Linked DNA regions of Struthio camelus. The protein of the gene in region 3 interacts with the protein of the main gene of each other region in a biochemical or structural test. Links are inferred from orthologs where the notes say so. Each region holds a gene or a part of one and is shown on either strand. Other genes may lie near its edges. The genes, in order: ubiquitin-conjugating enzyme E2 E2, UBE2V2 and RNF8.

Region 1 (7,168 bases), on a different chromosome or scaffold from region 3:
ACTACAGCTACCTTCCCAAAATCTGTTCTTGCTACTCCATTTATACTACATGCTGATAGCTGGAAAACAAAATGAACAAGAAGAATCTCGATCTCTGAAACACTCAAACGCTGTGTCTTGGGGCTCCAGAGAGCAGGGTTCTGTGAATTGCAGTTTACCTTTGCCAACAAACAGAGTGGGATTCAGCCAAGTGGGAACGAAAGCAAAGCAAGATTGTAGGAAAAAAAGACAAATTAGGTATGATGTGAGAATGAACTAACTGAACACAGGAGAAAGAAAAGTAGCAGGGAGGTGGAAAAGAGAATACAGTACAGGCCAGATACAGGCTCTGGACTATCCTTATGGCTTTGTACTGTCACAGCAGTGTAAAGAAAGCCAATAATGGGAGAGGAATCCCTTAGTAGCATAAAGCTCCTATAGAGATTCATGCTATTCTACCTTCCCACCTCAGTTTCTCAGGATAGAGGACAGGACTGGAAAAGAGAGGGCTATAGCTGGCTATTGGCTGCTCTCAAAACAGCATGATAGGGCCCAAGAATCATCAAACACACTGAGCAGCAGGGAAGAAATGGGGTGAGTGACACAAGATAGGATAGCCCCTGCTGAGCTGAAAAGTGGAATAAGGTAGTTCTTTACACCTTTGTCCCCATTCCTCCAGTCCTCTGCTGATAATAGCTCGAAGGGATGAAATGATCTGATTCATTAGGATTTGGCTGAAAGAGATGAATAGAACAACAGAGTGCTCCACAGACAATTGAGTATTTTTGATCTCAATCTTTAATATGAAATACTTAAGTTTTGAGAGTGAATTATGCTATCACAAGAGAGCTACTGTTAACGCTTTCAGCTGTATCACAGTCGAGATACTTCCTGGTCTTTTCTCTACTTGAGAAAACCAATCCCCTCAATTTGTATGTCAAGTATATACAAAATTGTTATCAGTTATAACTTGACCACAATGCACATTTAAAAACTTAAATAGCAATATTAAAAGGACGTGTCATTTTACATGTGAGCAGATGATAAGTTATGAATGCAAATGCAGAAGAAACCTCCAAGACTGGAACCTAAATTAATCCGATATATCTTTAAATTAAACATTCTTAAATGGAAACTTGTCTCAGATTTCTCCAACTTCATGGATTTTGATTGACATATATGTCCTTGTAACAGGCATGCTGAACCAAGAGGCCTTAACGGAAGTGTCCTTAACTGTAACAGTCATAAAGCGTGGCAGCCTGCGCCAGGTTATCTTAACTCTGAGTGTCTCTCTGAGAAAGCTGTAAGCTTTTATGAGAGTAAAGAACTCAAGTTGTTCCGGAGGTGTCCAGTATTCTAAAAAAGTGTAACGTGTGGCTTAGCACCCCATCGTGGTTGAAATTTCCATTAAGTTCAAAAGGGCCAGGATTTCACCATACGGGATGCAAACTTAACAAAAGTCTTCAAAAAGATTTTGAGTAACACACTATCATGCAACCTTTAACATCTGAGGGCTAAACATACTATTTCAGAAGGCTGACAGGATAAAACTGATACTTGGGAGCAGTTGGTTACCCTGACCTATTCCCTTTACACGACATAGGTAGGGCTCATTCAAGACCTTCACTTCAAAAATCAGAAGGCACGCTTCAGTGTGCAAGTTCAGGCAGTAAAATTATTAAGTACAAATACAGTACGAATATTAAGGCAGTACAAATTTTCTCCCTAGCTTAGTTGTCCTCAATGTAAGGTACCATTTAGGGTTTTGGGCCAGAGGTTATGCACCCAAATTAAAATCAGGGCCCGACTCTCAATGATTCAAACCCTCCACTTGGTGCTCCACTTCAGCACTCCCTTGATTTTTTTGGCACCAGGAATTTATGACCCAGATTCTGGGACATGCTATGGCCCTGTCCTATCCCTCTCTAAAGGAGTCTATTCACCGAGCTTCCCTCTTGTTGCTTCCTGTGGATTCTAGCAGGGAAGAACTGTAACGAAGCACACGGAACTGCCACCAAAGCGGAGTCCTGACACGGGCCAAGGAGTTTCAATAGATAGATATTCTGATGGGAAAACGTATGCCTCCTTTAAGGCACCTCTAAGCAATCAGAACAACGTTAAGAAAGTATGGTGGAAGACTCATTTAGAAGTGAATTTCATAGCTTCCTGGATGGTTTTCAGGAGGTCTGTTTCTGAATGCCTCAAAGAAAGGCATGATTTAAGTGATTTTGGAAAAGGAGACTGTGATACCAAGAGCGCGCAACACAGCCGGCACCCCTTCAGCATGATAACAAAGCACCACTTGCAGGAGATTTGCATTCGTTAAAAGATTGTTATGGATCATATTCTTTTAATTACCTAGTTATTAGTCCTTGTGAGGAATCAGTGCATGCCAGCAGCTAGAAACCCACCTAGCTGGAGCATCAGGAGCTTTTCCTCATGAGTTCATTAGAAGAAGGAGGAAAAGGTATCTTGTAAATGCACGTGAAATAGGAAGAACTAGCCGACTGCAGTGTTTTTAAGCCTATGTGAAAAACGTGACTAGGATTACTTTAATAAGGAAATGGGAAGACACAATAAAACAAGTTATTTCAAAGCAATTACTCAACAAAGAGAAAGATTAATTTTATGTAGATGGAAACTGCAAAAGTAACTTCTGTTGTCTGGATATAATATGAGAGAGAGGTGGCAATGGTGTTTCTAATCCTTAAATATCGCAGCAGTGGTTCAAGTTCTTGATTTGCATGTGTTTAGCAGTATGGACTCCATCTACACCATAACCGCAACTCAGAAAAAGTACAGTACTTTACAGCTCACATGGGGAGAAACTTTTCCTTGTACATGTGGAATAGCATGAATGCATTTTTTTTTTAATTCCCTTCAGTCATCAGTAAGGGGAAAACATTATGACCTGCCATTACTCCTTTACCCAGGGTGGGTGTATTTCCCTGCTGGCCGAAGAAACGTTTGAATTAATATATTTGCACAGCCCAGCTAAGCATCAGTTGCATGTTAGGCGAAGCTTGAAGAAGTAATGCCAGTACAGCGTTTTAGGCAGAACTAGCATTTCAGCTAGGGCGGTAGAGCTGGTTACCTCACAGCCAGCCCTGCCAGGGGTTTGTTTCGTTCCAGGCTAATATCATTAATACCGAATAGGTAACATCTAAGCGTGGCTCTGCCTTGGCCTCTCCCACTCCGTAAGGCAAGGCCTCCCTCCCGGCGTGGGAGGCCAGATGCGCTCACCTGAGCGCAGCCACGCTGCAGCACCCATCTCCAGCCGGGATGCTTTACGTCATCGGCTGCTCTCAGCCGCCCCGGGCTGTTTGTACCACCCAGCCGCGTATCCGCGGCCAAAACGACCACGGCGAACACTTAACTATGACAACAAAGTACCAGGTCTGGCCCTGCCGCCGCTGCTGCGCCCTGCCCGGCCACGCGTGGGTGCCCCCCTGCCGGCCGGGGGGCCGCCGGCCGCGCCTGCCCCCCCCCCCCCCGCCGGGCACCGGCCTTCCCCGCCCGGGGGGGGGGGGGGGCGGTGGGCGAGGACAAAGGCAGCGCGGTGGTGCGGGGCTCCCGCACGGGCCCGGCTGGCAGCACCGCAGCAGGCAAAGCCGCGGGGCTGAAAGCCGAGGGAACAAAGAAACGCGAAAAGGGCAAAAGAAGAGCTAAGAAAGTGAACCCCGCCGGCGCCGCCGCCTCCCCGCCCCCGCTCACGGCCTGCCCCCCCCTCCCCCCCCGCCGCACCCCGTTAACGCTCACTCCGTGAGCTGCTCGGGGGCGGCGGGCACGCCAGCGGCAGGAATTGGGGGGGGGGGGGAGAAGCGCTAACCTGCCCCCCCTCGCCAACGGCCGCCGCCCCCCCCCCCCCATCCTGTCACTCCTCCTCCCTGCCCGGCTCCGCTCTAGCCCGCCCCGCCCGCGTTTCCCTTTAACGCGCGCTCCCGCCGGCGGCGCCCTCCCCCCTCCCCCTCCCGCCCGGCCGGCCCCCGCGGGCACGCGCCCGCCCCGCTCGCTTGTCACTCCCCCCCCCGCCGCCGCCGCCGCCGCAAGCGCGCGCACGCCCCTCCCTCCCTCCTCGGACCGCCAGCGCTGGGGCGAATTGGCTGCCAGGCGCGGGCGCGCGGAGCTAGCCGGGCGGCGGCGCGCGCGAGTGCGCGCGCGCGCGCGGAGGCGGCGGCGGCGGCGCGAGCGCGCGCGCGCGCGGCAGCGGCTTCACTTCTCTCCGGGCAGCAGGGGTAGGAGCGGCGGTGGGAGCAGCAGCAGCAGTGGCCGCCGCTGCTGCTGAGGGAGCGAGGGAAGAGGCGGCGGGATTAAAGGAAGAAAGAAGAAAAGAAAGAAGGAAGGAAAGAAAGAAAGAAAGAAAGGGCGAGCGCAGCGGGCTCATGACTCAGTGACCGGCCGCAGCCCCCCTGCAGCCCCCCGCCCGGCCGGACGCGGGGCGCCCGCCTCGCATCGCCCCGCAGCCTGAGCCCGGCGCCGCCGCAGACCCGCGCTCGCCCGCAGGTAGCGGCGACCCCTCCTGCTCCCCCCCCCCCAACCCAAATCCCGGTCCCGTCCGCCTCCCCTCCCCCACGCCAGGGCCCTGCCCGCTCCCACGGTGCCTACCTCTGCCCTCACCCCCCCCCATGTCACCCCCTGTCCCCCCCCCAGCATCTCCCCGCCGCCCCTCCCCTGCTGCCGCCATTCCCCCCCCCCCACCCCAGGCACAACTCCGCCGGCCCCGCTACTTGCCCCGTCTGCCAGCGGCCCCCTGTTCCCCCCGCCCCGGCCCCGCTCCGCAACCCGGGCCGGGGCACCCCCCCCCCCGGACATCCCCCCCGCCTTCCTCTCGCGGCCTCCTCTTCCTCCTCCTCCTCCCCCCGCGCGGCACCCTCCCCCCCCCCCCCCCACGGAGGAGCGGGGCGGCGGGGGCGGGTGTCAGGTTTGGGAAGTGCCCGTGGCCGTCTCACGCCGTCCTCCAGGACTGCATAGTTACTGCACATTGTGTCTCCGTGACATGCGCCGCCCCCTCCCCCTCCGGGCAGGAGGAAAATAGGCGAGTTGTGCGTGTGTTGTGCGTGTGTGTGTGTGTGTGTGTGTGCGCGCGTGTGAGTGTGCGTGTGCGGGGCCGTGTCAGCCGCCGCGGTGCCCCCGCCGCCCCGGGCCGGGCAGCGAGCGGGCTCCCCTCTCTGCCCTGTAGTGTTGTGATCCTCTTGCCCTTTACGGTTTCTAATGAAGACGAAGTAAGGCGGCTGCTCCTGTCTCTTCATGGACCCCTGCAGAAATATTCAATTTATCTTTGCTTATAGGAAATTAAGACCGCTTTAGAAGGGCATCATCACTAGCTCTGCTGCCCTTGGGACCCATCTGCGCGCTGCCAGGATCTCTCTTTCCCTGACTGCTGGATTTTTTTTTTTTTTTCCTCTTGAGAAGGGAGGGGAAGGTGCCAGTGGATATATACGACAGAAGCAGGGTCTTCTGGACGTGCTTCACTTAGAATTTATAGTTGTACTTAACAGTTGTAGTCTCTGTCGATGCTGAATCATCTCATGTTAAGGGAAGGACTTTTAAGTCCTTCCCCCCCCACCACACACAATTTTCTCAGCACAACAGCAGGAAGGTTAAAAACCCTTGTCCTATTCCACATGTAGAATAGTCTGGCAGCCGAGGGAACTGGACATCGTGTTTCTCTTTTTACTCTGTGTGACTGTTGCAAACACACTTACGGCTGTCTAGATTCAAGAAATATCTTGCATTTGTCTGTCCTGATTGCACGGAAATGTTTTCCTACAGTGTCATTCCCCAGCTGATTTTTCTTTTCCATTCTTTTATTTGTTCATGTGCTTGTTTTCTAAGTTTGGCCACATCTGAAGTGTCTGACTTCAGGGCTGTTAAAATACACTTTTTTCACAGTATTGAACATCCCTTTAACTATGCAAAATTTCTAAAATTGCAGGCATTAGGAGCGGAGGGCATGGAAATAATTGTCTCTGGATGTCAGAAAGGCGAACAGAGAGAGATGGGGAGAGAGAGAGAGACACAGAGCTGTGAGAGAGAAAGAATAAGAAACTAGCCAGACGTCAAATGACAGATTTAAGCGTTTTCCTGTTGTAAATGCTGGCATTACATGTTACAGTAATTATATGCTCTGGGCTACTGTTACAGTGTTTATCTGCTGGATAGCAACCTGAACTTATGAAGTGAATACAGTTGTTTTTGGATAATAGTAATATTTATAGCCAAGATTATTCACAGCAGATGTCTATGTATATAGGCTTCATTAAATACGCTTTTGACTTTCTGACCAGTAGCGCTAAATGATAGGTACATTGTGAAGATAATTTTGTGTTTAAAATTAGATGCACTAATCAAAGATCAGAAATAGAATCTAGAGTAAATAAAGGCCATCAGAAACATGATAAAAACAATCAGTTTGTATTTTAGCTGCATATAGAAGCAAATGAAGCGGGTCCCTGCTTTCCAATTTTCATTACAGTTATTAAATTCATATTATGACTTATCAAAGTATGCTACTCTTGTCTTTTATTGTCTCTAAGTCTTTTTTTTCTTTCATCATAACATTTGACAGCCAGGTTATAAATATCTAAAGATTAACCTGTGCAAATATGTGAATAACGGTGAATATGATATTGTATCTATATTGCAGGGAAAATTGTTCTGCTAATAATGAACAATTTTTATATTTTAATTTTAGAAATCAAACGATATATTATTTCAGTTCATGCAGCAGCCTAGGTGTTGTGCTTTTGCATGTATTTATATATGAATATATATTTATAAAACACTGCTTTTATGAACCTCAAAATGTAGCGTAAGTTGATTAAGAATAACCTAGTCCCACATCCATCACTTGCTATTTTTTTTAACCTTTTAACTATTTTGAATGCATTTCATACTTCCAGATTTTCCTTTCCTTTCTGTGTAGCCTCATAAATTAGACAGGAAAGATTTAATTCCTGCTTAAGTCAATTGGATTGAGTTATGTGAATAATGCCTGAAAAGATTGATTCTTCCACTCTAAAGTGCATACTACTTGATAGTATCAGATGTTGGTAAGGCTTTTACAAGATAGGAGTAAATTTGTTTTCTTACATGCAACTCTACCAAAAAAGCTTATGGCCTTTTTAAAAGTATCCTTTTTAGCATAACCCTGTTGACAATGATGTGACGCTGCTTTTCCTTTGCTGCC
Region 2 (7,222 bases), on a different chromosome or scaffold from region 3:
CGTGAACGTAGTTGATTAATCCAGCATATTTAGAACTCAACCAAACCCAGAAGTTGACTTTGTCTGCTCACTCTGCACCTCCCCATCTTTATCAACTACGGAAGTCTCTCAGATAGTATCTTTGAAACATAAGCTTCCTACTGTATATAAAATGACATACTCAACAAGAGAACTGGGACTCAGCTTCTCTGAGGCATGTGAAGACTTTGCCTGATTTGACACGGCAGCGGGAACTCGTGCTCTTCTCTGTAGGCCGAATGTATAGTTGCACTTACAGCCAAAATATACATACTTTAATCCACCACATAGTGGCATTCTCACTGTTGCTTAAGCTTACGCTCTTCCATTTACAGAGAGGCAGAGGCTATTGTTGTGCCGTGGTAGCCCTACACCAGACCATGAATGTTTGCTGAGTTACTTCTCATTTCACAAAAACATGACTGCAGAATGGAAGGTATTACTCATCCATAAAGGAAGGCTAAGGGGAAAATCAACTCAGAATGTGAAGCAGAACTGCCATCTGACTGCTTTATAACTGCCCTGGCTCGTTTTCGTGTCGACTTACTCGCTTCTGGTGACATTGAATCTGATGGTTTAACCACGTTAGTACGGACACGTGATCGATCAAATGTTTCTGGAGGTGGCTTCTTTGACAGGTGGTAACATAAAGCAGGCAGAGCTTAATCTACTGTCTTTATTCTGTATGGGAACGTTCACATGATGTTTGATATACCTTACTGTTGATTTGCCACAGATCTCCTGGTGGTGCCTGCAACAGCCAGCCACCAGAAAATGTGAGAAGAAAGAATATAGCACTCAGAAAAAAGAAGGTAGTTGTTAGCTCTCTAACTATAGTACTCAGAAAAAAGAATGGAGTTAGTTGTTAGCTCTCTAAAGGCTTGAAGGGTCCAAGTGAGAATAAGAAGCAAGGATAAAGCTGTTGGGGATTTATGGCCATCTAAATCTAAGTTACGTTAGATGAATTTCTAAAAATACTAAAACCAAGTCTGCCAAAGTTAAATACAATTCTTGTTTTTGGGGGGAGTGAATGTTTGTAATGTAGTTTACTAATAATTTGTAGAATGCTTTAAAGGTTAAAAACAACATAAAAGTGATGTATTTGTAGCACTTGTGAAGTGAAGAGGGATCTCTGCAATAATAAATAATTCATTTTTCCATGGCAGCTGCTAGAGCATGCACACAAGATTCAGCATATTTTCTCCGCTGAAAACACTACGGGCAAAACATAATAGCTTTCTGTACCACAAAATCCTAGTTCTCAAAGTTAATTAAAACAATTGACCAACTGTTACGAACACATAAAGCTCGAGTAGGCCATCGGAAGGCACTGTCAGCTTCACATAACTGTCAGAGTGTTTAGACTTCAATGAAAAAAAAAAAAGTCAACCTGAAGGTGAAGTCTTCGAACAGTTATGAGGAAATTACTCTGCAAAGGCTACAAAAACAGCAACCATATTTTCTTCTGTGGGAAGCTTTCTTAGAGCAAGCAATGAGTTCGTAATAGCAAGTACAATATAAAATCCTAGGGAAGGAGGGCACATGCGTTTTTCATGTGATGTTATTTAGGTAAATTCAGCTACATGTTCACTGCTCTAATTATCTGTAGAAGCTTGGAGTGAGGTAGCTAACAAACATTACTTACTCCACGGCAGAGGCCAACCTTTTTAAGCAGGGATGACAAAAGGTATATTTAGAATAGGCAATCCTGAATAACTTCCTGGTTGGGTATTATTATTCTAGCATAAAGAAAGACAATTTTTTTGTCTTTATCTAAGCACAGGTGGCTTATCTTAGAGACGGCTCCTACAAATTCAAATGCTGCTATGATCGTAATTAACTGGTAATAAATTCAAAGTCTGCACTGATTTTGTTTAAGGCTGTCTAATATCATTGATGTATTCTCACAACCTGTTATCCCTCTGAGAAACTGAAATAGTTGTCATCGTACTAGCACGATATTTAGCAAAAGGAATACTCATGAGCTACCAAAAACCACTAGCTTTTGCCACCAGAAAATCTGCTCAGCTTTTGCTGAGGGTAAGGTTTTGATTCTCTATCTTCCTTTTTTTTTTTTTTTAAATATTTTTTTAGGGGGTGGGGAGATTCAGTAACATGTAAATATAACAGAATTACAAGTGTTCTGGAGATGGAGAACCCCAAAACTTTCAGAGGCAGTAAGGGAGTGAGAAGAGAACAGGGAGCTAGATCAGTTTCACCAGCCCTTCTAGCTAAAGAGATCGAAGGTGGATTTTCCCATCCTCTAGTAAAACTGCCTTTCCGGCTACACAGCTAACGTAGTTAATCTGGCAATACAATGCTGAAGGCTCAGAGCGCAAGCTTTTTTGTTAGAATAACACAAGTTTTCACAAACAAACTTAAAGTTTTGTAATCTCTTTAGCCAAAAAACAAAAGTATATTGTAAATTGAAGTTATTTCAGGCTCTCAAATGCTATGAACTATCAGAAACGTGTCTGTGAGATCAGAGATCTGCCCTCCTTAAACACGGCTCTATGTTTGTATTTATACGTTACTTTTTGCAACCTCCATCCTCAGAGCAGTGCTAACAAAACGTGCAGACATGAACACAAGCATGAACTTACATTTCAAAAATATTTGCAGGTTTAGCTAAAGGCATATGCTGAGCTGCTACTATTTTCCATTCAAAGCCATCACGTTTGGGAAACCCAGAACAAAATCTGCTTTTTCCAACGTTGCCTTCCGCACCCTCCAAAAGGTACAGTAGGTAACTTTTCACACTGGGCTGCTGAGGCAGGAACATCACAACTGGGCCTTGTGAAGCCGTATTGTACACGCGAGGTTTGCTTCGAAGACTTACCCCCCATCCCGCAGCTCGTACCAAGGACCGGGAAACCGCCTCCCTGCGTGACTGGCTCATAGCCCCACGTTACAGCGGGCGCTGCGCAGAAGGCCATTTGGGGCCGCACCGTGTGGAGGGCGGAGCGGCGCGGCCGTTAGGGGGCGGGGGCGCATGCGCGGCCGGAGAAGCTTCTAGCACAGCGGGGGGCGGGGCGGGAGCCCGGCAAGGAAGGGCAACGGCTGTCCTGGGAGGGGGCGGGGGCTGGTGGCTCGAAGCAAAGCGGGGTTGGGCTCCGCGAAGACGGAGCTGGCGGAGCAGGTTAGTTTGCAGTCCTTCCACAGCTTCTTGCTGAGAGGTTTCCTCTTCGTGATGTTTGTTCCAGTTGGCGGTTTCACACAGCCTAGCTTTTCGAGGTTTTGGGGGTGCTTGCTTTAGGGGTGAAGGCTCAGATGGATCCGTTCAGAGCTCTGGCTGGGGGTGCTGCTCGGGAGAGGGGATGGTTGTGGGGGTCCATATGTAGCACTTACTGCTACTACAGTACTGGTATGAGTCAGGCCTCAACTCCCAGCGCTTCTAACCCCTGCTTGAGACACCAGTCTTTCTTTGTAAAAGCTTAATAGCTGTTGTTTTCCTTCCTGATGTTGTTCAGAGTGCGTTCAGAATGTAGCGCTGCATCCAGGAAACAGCTGGAAGGATGGAATCGAGAACAACTCCAGCTGAAGAACTTGCTGAAGTAGGTGCTAATTTAAGCTTACTTAAGTTTTTAATTCAGTCTGGCTATGATGTTTTTCTGCTCTACCTGTGTGTTGAGTGCACTCTTAAGTAAAGTAGCTTCATCAGTGAATGCAGCTCTCATACTGGCAGGGATGTTTCCCTGCTTAAACTCTAGAATAACCTTGTAGTACAGTGGTGTATGTAGTCAGTGGAGACAAGGGCTAGGTTTTTCAAGTAGGCCTAAGGAAGTAGATGCTAAGTATGCACTGAATGTCAGTGAGTTCTTATACCCTAAGTCTCTGAATGCTGCAGCCAAGCCTATTTTTCAAATCATTCTGTATAACCAGTTCTTCTGGTCTCTTTCTCTCCCTTTTTTGGGGGAAGGGTGGGATTATTATTCTCAAAACTACTTAATTATACTGGAGAAATTATCATTTACTGGTGACTACGTAGTTTTGTTATGTAGTAAAATCCATGGGAGAGAGCTCAAGGTGCAGGAATCCTAATAAGGATTTTTTTCCTTCTCTCATTGATGCACTTCACAGAAGATTAGGCCATTAGGCTCAGAGTGAGGCCTGCAGTTCCAATTTGCATGTTCAGAGATGGCTCACTAAGTACATCTGGTTCAGAAATAGGTCGTGCAGAAATTATAAGTCTCAGTGTGCAGCCTTCCCTCCGATTCTGTTGTGTTTTTGTATAGTGAGAGTGAGGCACAGGCAGAATCTTTGTCTCATGGGAACGTGGCAAAAGACAGTTAAGCTTGATAATCTGTGAGACTTGGTTTTGTATATTAAAAAGATATAAAATGTAGTTAAAATCCAGCCTATCACTTTTTCTTTGGAGACGTCACTGGGTAGTTTTATAGACAGACAGTGCTGCCTGAATAGCTGAGTATTTCCTGCTGTGTTTGTGATTAAGTTGAACACAAACAGGAGCTGTGGTTGGCCTCTACCTGTCTGAAAGACAGGCACAGGCTTAGGGACATTCCTCCTGCTATGCATTCTAGTATTTTACTAAAGAGTGAGTGTCACCACCCATGTTCCAGTGCAGACTAGTCCAGTGTCTGTCCTGGTGCCAGCAAAGTAAACTTAAGTGTGACCTACGTTAAATGGAAAGCTTTTATACAGCACTGGGAAGGAAGAATAACTTTCATGAAAAGATAATACAGCCTAATATTGCCTGATAAACCTTCACTGTCTCTGATTCTTTGAGTTCTGGTTGTAGCTAAGAACTGACTTAATGTCTGCTGAGCGCTCCCAAAGGCGTTCTTTTTGAATTATGTTATGACACACCAAGAACTATACCTAAGCAGAGGACAACTTAGGATATGTTTCTTAAATATTTGGCTCAGTAAAATCTTTTAAACATTGATATTGACCGGTTTATTTCATGAGTGCAAATATAATCCTAGTTATAAAAAAGGAGACATTCATATTTGGGTAATAACCTGTACGTCCTGCAAAGACTAGGATTTAGTTATTGTGCTTTCTGAAATCACCAAGTTCTTGGAGCAGATCTTGAGAGAGTTGAGGGAGCCCTACGTGCCGGTGCGATCTGTATATCTTAAGGAACGTCAGGCAAATCAAGAAGGAGACTATAAAAGAGGTTTTTTTTTTTCTTCTCAGAGTTATTTAATAAATGTAGTTCAAGAGACTCTTTCCTTCGGAGAAGCAATGGTGTACTGTATTTGCAAGATTAATTAAAAGTTCACAATTCTTGTCTTCTTTTTTTTTTTTTCTCCCTAGAATCAAAGCAAATAAAAATGCCAAACTATTACAAGGCTTCTGAAGGATTCAGTCAAGTTCCCCTGCCTTTCTTTTCAGGAAAGAGAAATACAGTCCTCCGAGATCGCTTTTCATAGGATTTTAGCAAATTCAACTGTTTGTCTTCTGTTACCGGCTGCTACTTCTTTCTATCCTTTTCAGGTTTGTTTTCTGACCCACTGATGAAGGTTGTCAGCTGAGCACTGATTACAACAGTTGCAGACACACTGAATCAGCAGCTATTTGGGCAAATGTAAGTATGTTGGATATAGCTTGGATCCTCCAAGTTAAATGACGAGATAGAGTGAGGATGTGAGAGGGTGGAAAACATTAAAGCATGTTGGTATTTGATTCTTGGGGAGATCAGAGTATATATGTCAGTCACGTTAGGCCAACAAATCTTTATGTTCCAGTACTATCTAAGTAGATCTCATTATGTCTCCTGATTTCACACAACCATAAATTAGAAATAAAGTAAACTAAAGTTACTCCTTTTTTTTTTTTTTGATGCCACTTTCAAAGAGAGAAGACTAACCATTTAACATCGAGTAACAGGAAACACTGGAGACCCTTCTTAATGTTCTCCGACTCTTGTCTTCCAGAGTTGAAGCCAAGACACTGCCAGTGCTGTTTCATTATAGGCATGATTTTTTTTGTGTTTATACATACGTATTTTCATAAATGTGTATCATATATGTAGGTTGCATGTGTATGTGTGACTTTATTACCAGATAAGGTGAACTACTATTTTATCTCCCAAAAAAACAGTACTCATTATTAAGAAAATTAAATAAGCATGCAGAGTACAGTATGGATATGAAATACTTGCCATCTGTGCCTTCCTTTTTGTGTGTTCTACAGAAACCTTTACCAAATGAGTTCCGTATTTTTCAAGAGAGGCATCCTTTAGAGTTGGCCGACCTTTTGTGTCCTAGTTTTAGCAGGTGACTATGTTCCTATTACTGATTTTTCTACCTGTTACGCCTTCTTAAGAAGATTAATTTGATTTAATCAATATGACATGAAAAGACTTTTTTTTTTTTTTTTCCTCTTCCAAAGGAAAAACTTTATGAGCAGGTTAGAAAACAGTAAGAGGTTTTGGAGAGTCAAAAGTTCTGTTTTCTGAAATTTTGCTTTTGACTGTAAATTGACTGAAATTTTGCTTTTTTTGGTTGTAAATTTTGAAATAGGAAAATTTTATATATGCTTAATTATATTTTAAAGTTTTACCTTTATTGCACTTTAAGCCTAAGTGTTCTCTGTTGGCTAGTTTAATTTATCTTTAAATTATATATTAAAATTAGCTCCCTTTTTAAATTAAGGAAGCGCTTCTTTAAATCTGAAGTATTTTGAAGCTCGAAAGTACCAACAACATGGGCAGGACAGGGGTAGTTGTTACTGTTTTGGGGAAAACTAGAAAACCAGCGGGGAGATAAGAACATACTTGTAGAAAATTCTCTAGTAGTTAGAACAGCTTTACATTTGGGGTGTGAACAAACTGATCTGTGCAGAACTTTAGTTTAAAGCAAAGATACCTTTTGCAGCATTCCATTTGTCAGGGAGCTTTTTCTGTGCCTTGTATAACTTAGGCCCGGAACTCCGTTGCCCCAGGAGGCTATTTCAGTGGTCAGGAACATTCAAACGGAAGAACAGTACGGTTATATTATGCAGTCAAATTTATTGTGTTCTGAATTGTGGAAATGGGTAAAGTCACTTGGCTGATTCTCTTCCACCTAGGGGTTATAAATAGGAACAAATCTATTTTAGGAAAATAAAACCAGATTTCTCTGAACAGTCATAATTGCTTGCTGCAAGCATAAACCTAGAGTTGCTTGGAAACATAGACTTTCTATTTTTCAGATGCAGCTCAGCTGCATCAAATGTGCTGTTAAATCAAGGAGTCCAG
Region 3 (7,585 bases):
TTTGTGGTTCCCACAGAGCAACAAACTGATCAAGATTACTTCTTACTCTTTTCTTTGACTAGCTGCATCTGTTCAACTGTTGTAAACAGTACAGCCTAGAAAACTGCTACCCAAAAGCGTGAATGTAACCATGCCCTAAGCATGCAATACTTCTGTAAATCACACCATCAACATTAGGGCTCAGAAACTAAGCTACATGCCATTCATAACCACTAGTGAAGGTGATCTCAATAATCTGATTAGAATCTCACAGTACCTTCCGGAAGAAGAATGGACAGAATTTGTAATGGTACTACTTCACAATACTTTATCAAAAAATATGATCTAATTGCAGGCTGCCATTTAAAGCATGGCTTTGCTCTCCCTCTCTCCACTGCCTCCTCACGTGATCTGATAGTCGCAGACATTTCTTATTCATTTGTGTGTTGCAGGGAAGTAATTTCTTTTAGAAAGGACAAGTTTTCAGCCAGTTTACCATGTAATTAGACAACTGCATGAATCCAATGCAATAGATACAAGAACGTGCAGCCAGAAAGAGCAGGACAATACACCATTTAGCAGAAGCCCACAGTAAAATCAGACTAGGCATATTATAAAAATACAACCTAGTCTGTATGTCTTAGATGAAAACTGCCCCCTTTTTCCCCCTGCAATTCCAACTCTTTTGCATCACACCTTCCAATTCCTACAAGAAGAGGGCAAGATCCTGCAGCCAAGGAAAATTAATTTACTACATGTTACGTGAAACAGTCCCATCCTTCAAGTTGAAAGCAAGGGCTCAAACTCCCACATCGTAACTAAATGCAAGGAAGCTAACTAAGATCAGGAAAGCAAACTGAACCACAGAATTCCCTACCTCTTAAATGCTTCACATCTCTTAATGTTCTGTCAACATGGGTTGCTTCTGCAAGATGAAGATGATTCTCAAAATGAAGATGATTCTCTACCACCACCTTCCTGTCTGCCCCATACAGCTCCCTCCATATCAGCAAGAACTTCAGGTGGATTCAGTTATACACACAACTTTGCTTTTGTCTGTGCAGAAATGCCTAAGCCACATCAACTATTATTAGTTCTCGGTCATGCACGTCTTGTGGCCTAGAGTGCCAATACAACCAAGACTGCGTAGAGCCAATCATAAAACTTCCCCTCGCTAACGTTCGTTGAGCAAAGAGCAACAGCCGTGGGGTTTCAGACGTTACCGCTTGCCTGCTAGAGTTCATCACTGCCACAACATAACGCACCCCCATACCTATCAGCAATACAGTTTGACACCACCATTTAAAGCCCCAGTGACAGCACTTGGAGCCAACGTGCCAGACTGTAAGCTGGTAAGCCTTAAGCACCAGCCACACATTTACTCCGTTGCTTGTGAGAGGGAGGGTAACAGTATGCCAATAACTAGGGTAAAAACACGTAAACAAGATTCTCCATCCAATTACCAGAGCCCTTATTGCAAGTTTTGCAACTCCACTACTCAGTTCCTTAGCTGAGCACACTTACACCCCTGCTGGCTTCAAATCCATGAGTGAAAGTAACACATCGTACATCTGCCTAAAGATCTGCCTAGCGTTTAAAGATGAATTAGCAAGGGTACCTTGTGCAAGGCATAAGCACAAAGGAATTAACTACAGTGTGAACCCACAACATTTAACTGCCTGCTTTTGACCATAAAAACTGCAATCCTCTTGTAGCACCGTATCTTCAATACGGTAATTTGTCATCTCACTTCAAGAGTAAAAAGATCTGTTTTGGCTTTTTAACTAAAAAAAAATGATAACAGAAGAAAAGCTTATACCTATGCCATTCTGAAACATAACTGAAATGGCTGAAAATACTGGCTGTGTTTACACTTGAATAACTTTAGCCACTAAAACTAAATATGTCACATATTGCTAACCTCGCCAGAGCATCACGGTATTAATTAGGCTAAGGATTTTTTTTTTCTTACGTTACCATTATCACACAAACAACTTCTGCTTAAACATGACATCACGTTAAAAAAGTTAACGTCTGAAGACATAGCACATTAAGTTTAAACCTCTGATCTCAAAAGCAGCACCCCGCTTTCTGCTCCCTTGCAAGTTACTGGCGTTGAAATAAACTGGTTGTAATCGGGGGGAGATCGGTCTTTAAGAAAGCGCAGAAATACCGAGCAACGCTTCACCAAGACTGCTTTAGGGGAAATAATTTATAAACTGGGATTAATGACCGGCTCTTCTGAATAATAATTAACAACTGCCGCTCATTAGCCTAGATAGCTTTTTTTTTTTTTTTTCTGGAAAGCGCATTAGCGAGTAAACAGGCTCTCAAAACAGCACACTCCCACAGTCACCCGCCCGCCCCCCAGCCGGGGCTCAGCGAGAGGCGGGCCGCTCCCCCCGCCTCACCCCGGCTGGCGAGGGCCGTGCCTCGGGCGCCGGGCCGCCCCCGCGGCTTTCACCCGGGGGGGGCCCCGCGGCGGGGCCCAGCGGCGGCCCGGCCCCCCAACTCACCTCGGTGCCGGCCTCCAGCAGGAGCCAGTCGCCGCTCGCCCCCACCCGGCGGAGGCACCAGGCCAAGCCCGAGGCCCCGCGCGCCGCCATGGCGCCCGCCCTCCCGCCGCTGCGACAGGCAGAAGCAATCGCTGCTGAGGCGGCGGCGGCGGCGGCGGCGGCACCGCCTACCCGCTCCCGGCCGCGGCGCTCTCGCGAGGGCAGAGCCGCCGCAGAGCCATAGCGGCGGCGCACCGCCCCGCAGCCCGGCTAATCGAGCCTGGAGCGCGGAGGGGGTTGGGGGGGCTGCGCATGCGCCCGGTGGGGGGCGGCGGCGTACGGGCGGCGTTGCCTGGGGGATTTGCGGGGCGGGAGGAGCGGCGCCATTGTGGTGCGCATCTTCTCGCAGGGCGCCCCACGGGCTTAGGAGCGGGGTGCTGACGGGCAGGCCGGCCGGCCGAGGTCCGCCCGCCCGCCACAGTCGGGGGATTTGGAGGCCCGGGCGGCGGGCTGGCGGCCGTCCCGGCCGCTCCCAGTGCACACACCCTGAACGGAGGCGGGAAGCCACCCCCGCCCCGCCCTGCGCTGCCGGGCCCAGCCGCGGCCCTCCTCGATCCCATCGGCCCCTGCCACGCGCCCTCTCCTGGCTCCTCCCGCTCTTCTCGCTGCCCTTCCCGAAGGCGCCCTCGCCCGCCTTCCGCCCTCGGCCAAGATGGCGGCGGCCGGGCGGCTGCGGCGCCGCCTGCTGCCGGCCGTGCCGTGGCGCTGGGGCTGCGGCCCCCGCCGCTGGGGCACCGGCGGGCCGGCGGCGGGGCAGGTCCGCGCCGCCTTCCTCCGCTTCTTCCAGGAGCGCCACGGCCACCGCCGCCTGCCCTCGGCCCCCGTGCGGCCTCGGGGGGACCCGCGCCTCCTCTTCGTCAACGCGGGCATGAACCAGGTGCTCCCCCCGCCCCGCGGACCGGTTGCGAGGGGCGATGCGCCCCGCCGCCCCCTCCCCCGGCTCTCCGCACTGTCGGGGCTCGGCCCGGGGCCTGCGGCCGACCGGGAGCCGAGGGCTTCGGCTGTGCTCTGCCTGGGGCCCCTGCCTGCAGGCCGCCGTGGGCGGGCTTCCCGGGAACTCCTCTTCCTCAGAGGAAGGCGGTTTATCTGTAGCAGGAAAGCCTTTTTCACAGGAAAGCCTGTGGCCTGATCGGCTCCTGTACCTCCTTGTCACCTCACGACTCTCCCATCTCCATGTGCATATCTTCTGCTTGTAGCTCCCTATCTGTATTTCTGGAGCTACAGTCATAAGCCTGCTATGCTGGACGGTGTCTAGCAACAGGAGATGTCTCTCTGCCTTGATTTCTAGTTTAAGCCCATTTTCCTGGGCACGGTGCATCCCCGGAGCGAGCTAGCACAGTACAAGCGGGTGGTGAACAGCCAGAAGTGCGTGCGCGCTGGAGGGAAGCACAATGACTTGGAGGATGTGGGCCGAGATACTTACCATCACACCTTCTTTGAGATGCTGGGGAACTGGTCCTTTGGAGATTACTTTAAGGTGAGGCAATGAGAGTCAGCCCTCTCCAGGGGGAGATACAGCTTTTCTTTTATAGCATCAGATCTGTCTTGTAGCACCATAAAGGTATTTGCACGAGGCTTTGGCGAGCTCTGAATTCCTTGCTGGAAGCTCTGTGGCTTGCAGCAGAGGTAGTCAGCGTGCTGAATCACTAAATGTGCCCGGCAGAGAACTCATTTCTCTGAAAGTGCCCAGCCTTTGCAAAGCTGCCAACCGCATATACAAACCAAAGCGCCCTGTGTGAGTGCCAGTGTTGACCATGTAATATGGGTGAAAAAAGGTTCCTGTTTCATTTTGTGCTTGTTACTGGAAAGTTCGAAAAGGGAGAAGGATAAAGAATGCTAATTGTTTTTCTAGTATATGCATTTCTTCCTAGGAAAGAAAATAATCCATGTGACTGTGCGGGTAAGCAGGTCAGTGTAGACCATGCTGTGATCCTGAAGGTCTCCCAAGGATTTAGGAAGGCCACAGTTTCCCACAGCTATTTGAAGAACTGTCTATAATTGGCCTGACCCCCATCATACTCACTGACATATGTCTTAAGACTGCAGAGGGACAGAACAACTGAAATTAGCCTCTTTGGTGTTTGACTCCCATTCTAAAGAACCTTCTTGTCTCCCTTCATGCCCTGGATTACTGTACTTCCTCGGTGTTCCCTGCCTGCTCAGGAGGAGGCATGTAGTATGGCCTGGGAGCTCTTGACAGAAGTCTACAAGATTCCCAAAGATCGTCTGTACGTCACCTATTTTGGTGGAGACTCTTCGCTGGGGCTGAGCGCAGACGAGGAGTGTAGGGACATATGGCTCTGCCTGGGGTAAGTTGTGTTGGAGAAGAAGTTCAGAGCAGCAAGTACTGACGTTTCAGTCTCCATAGTCTCTCATTTGCTCTTTAATTCATGGGATTCAGATGTAGGAGCCAAAAACTGGGCTTTGAAATCATTTGGTTTCTGCTTTTTTGGGACTGCTAAAAGTCCCAAAACTCGGAGCACTCTGGGGGACTTCATCTTTAAGCTGTTGTTCAGATGCAGTCAGTCTAGAAGGGCTGTGAACCGAAGGTTGTCTGACCGGGATGAAGTGACGTGGTGATTTCTGTTCCATGTGCGGTAATGCTACTCCCACTATCCTTCTTTTCTTTGTGTGATCCTTTGCTTCCTCTCCGTCACGAGCTGCGGAGATCGCATTGTCCTCAAAAAGCTAGCAATGGCCCCCTCAACCTGAGGATGAAGCCCTGATGTACTTTGGGAGCTTGTTCCAGGCTGTATGCAGACTTTGGGCTGAAGGCTGATAACTCTGTGCCATGTTTGGTGTCCAGCTTTGTTTGTCCTGATCAGATCTTAGCTCAGCTAACCTCCAGGGAGAAAAGACCCAACAGAAGACCCAACAGAGAGCTGGCCATCGATCAGCAGGGGCCAGACTGAGCTTGCTAGCCATGCTGAGTAGTGAGTAGGATCTGTCTGCTTTGGTCCAGCTTACCCCTGCTAAGGAGGTTAATTCCGTGTGAACAGAAGCAAATGAACCTTAATGTGTTCACATTCTGAGTTTGTAGTAGTCAGAAGGGATCCTGCCTCCAACTTTCTCTGTGATCTAGGCTAATCTGTATTTTGTGTGTGTGCCCCAGTCCTGCCATCCCTGTTGTTTGCCTTTCCAGGGTGCCTGCCAGCCATGTGCTTCCTTTCCCATTGAAGGACAACTTCTGGGAGATGGGGGACACAGGTCCCTGTGGTCCCTGCACAGAGATCCACTATGACCACGTGGGTGGTGGCCGAAACGCTGCAGCACTGGTGAACCAGGGCAGCCCTGATGTAGTGGAGATCTGGAACCTGGTCTTTATGCAGTATAGCAGGTACTAGGCATCCAGTCCAGATCTCGGAGCCTTTCCCTCTCCTCTGACATCCAAACCCTAGTCAATTTTTCAGACTTCTCACTGCTTTCCAGGAGGTGGCGGTACAGGATCAAGGGGAAGCAGTGGAAATGTGTTTTCATTGTGGCCCATAGGCCCCCTTTGCCATGCTTCTCCTGTCCTTCCTCAGCCTGTGCTGCCTCTTTTCCCTCACTGCTTCATCCCAGATGTTCCTTTAGGTCTGCAGCAGCACAGAAAATAACTGCTAGGAGGAGGAGAAGGGCTTAGGCCCCTGTTCAGGGCAGGCCTTTTTCCCTACACCATGTTCTGACTATCCAATGGTCAGAGCATGGCTGCCCAGCAGTGCCACCTCCGGCTGCTGTTAGTCCTCTCCCTGAGATTTCTTCTTTTGAGTCACCTGCCCCAGTGCTATTTCCACCTGCTGTCACTCTCCCATCCCCTATGACTCGTCCACTCCTGTTCCTTGGCCCTGGACTGACCCCTGCTTCTCTTTTGCCTTTTTTTTTTTTTTTCTGGCATGCTCACAGAGAGGTGGAGGGGAATTTACTTCCCTTGCCCCAGCACCATGTGGATACAGGAATGGGTTTGGAAAGGCTGGTGACAGTTCTGCAGAACAAGCGCTCCAACTATGACACAGATCTCTTCACTCCCATCCTGGATGCCATTCACAAGGTGATGATGCTCCTGTTCAGAGCCGCAGCTAAGCCAAAGCCCCATGAATGCAGACTGCTTGACTGGTACCATAACACAGCCTTCTCCACACACATTACTATGCAGTATTTTAAGACAGGAGGTATGTGTAGCTAGGCCCACAGCAGCATTCTAGAGAAGCTGGGGAAAATTCCAGATTGGGAATCCACTGGGATAACAGCTCTACTGATCCGTGTTTCTCCAAGGGTCTGTTAAATACCTCAGGGCCAGGGCATTGGTTGACATCTCTTAGGCACACAAGCCTATAATTTTCTCAGAAGGTTTTATGAGTACATCTTGCATCGTAGGCTGCAGAGGCAGTTGACAAGCATGAAGTCAAGTGTGTAGCTGGCTGTCTTACCTTGCAACTTTTTTTTTCTACAGCTATTCACAGCTGCTAATCTGTCTCCTTACTTTCTCTTCTAGGGCTGTGGGGGGCCCAGATACCAAGGTCTGGTCGGGAAGGCTGACGTTGGGGGTGTGAATATGGCCTACCGCGTGGTGGCAGATCATGTGCGTACCTTGTGCGTGTGCATCACTGACGGCATCTACCCAGGCCTGTCTGGAGCAGAGTAAGGACATGCAGAAATGGCACAGGGTGGATGGAGTTTCCGGAAAGGAAAGGGAATATGAGCAGCCCTAGGGGAGAGGTTGTGGAAGGGGTCAAAGACAGGGAGTGGGTGAGCTGTGTAGAAACACGAAGGAGAGGGCCTGGAGGCATTTAAGATCAGCAGGGTCATCCCCAGATAGATGTGAAGAGTGGGGTGCAGCTGGCCTATATGGATAGATCAGGCCAGAGAGGAGTTGCGTGTGGGGTGTGCTGGATGTGGGGGCAGGGCAGGGATGCTCACAGGGCTATCTAGGAAATCGTGCCCTGCTTTCAGACTGGTGCTGCGTCGGATCCTGCGCAGGGCTGTCCGCTTTTGCTCTGAAGTCCTCCATGCCCCACCTGGGCTCCTGGCCTCCCTGGTTCCTACTGTAGTGGAAGTGTTGGTGAGTAAGAGTT

Evidence for each region.
Region 1: the proteins of RNF8 (region 3) and ubiquitin-conjugating enzyme E2 E2 form a complex in vitro, tested with the Homo sapiens proteins (2 studies listed by BioGRID). The link is inferred for Struthio camelus from reciprocal best matches to the Homo sapiens genes RNF8 and UBE2E2.
Region 2: the proteins of RNF8 (region 3) and UBE2V2 form a complex in vitro, tested with the Homo sapiens proteins (2 studies listed by BioGRID). The link is inferred for Struthio camelus from reciprocal best matches to the Homo sapiens genes RNF8 and UBE2V2.

What each region holds. Positions count from the first base shown.
Region 1 is NC_090943.1:43,805,619-43,812,786, forward strand, and holds the start of ubiquitin-conjugating enzyme E2 E2, read left to right. Parts: upstream 1-4,118; 5' UTR 4,119-4,482; intron 4,483-7,168.
Region 2 is NC_090943.1:140,987,106-140,994,327, forward strand, and holds the start of UBE2V2 (ubiquitin-conjugating enzyme E2 variant 2), read right to left. Parts: upstream 3,074-7,222; 5' UTR 2,955-3,073; coding exon 2,858-2,954; intron 1-2,857. UniProt on the Homo sapiens protein: Has no ubiquitin ligase activity on its own. The UBE2V2/UBE2N heterodimer catalyzes the synthesis of non-canonical poly-ubiquitin chains that are linked through 'Lys-63'. This type of poly-ubiquitination does not lead to protein degradation by the proteasome.
Region 3 is NC_090944.1:104,607,502-104,615,086, reverse strand, and holds the start of RNF8 (E3 ubiquitin-protein ligase RNF8), read right to left. Parts: upstream 3,100-7,585; 5' UTR 2,586-3,099; coding exon 2,496-2,585; intron 1-2,495. Other genes in the region: AARS2 (alanine--tRNA ligase, mitochondrial), read left to right, coding at 3,187-3,411, 3,823-4,011, 4,698-4,843, 5,677-5,871, 6,417-6,561, 7,006-7,151, 7,464-7,572. UniProt on the Homo sapiens protein: E3 ubiquitin-protein ligase that plays a key role in DNA damage signaling via 2 distinct roles: by mediating the 'Lys-63'-linked ubiquitination of histones H2A and H2AX and promoting the recruitment of DNA repair proteins at double-strand breaks (DSBs) sites, and by catalyzing 'Lys-48'-linked ubiquitination to remove target proteins from DNA damage sites.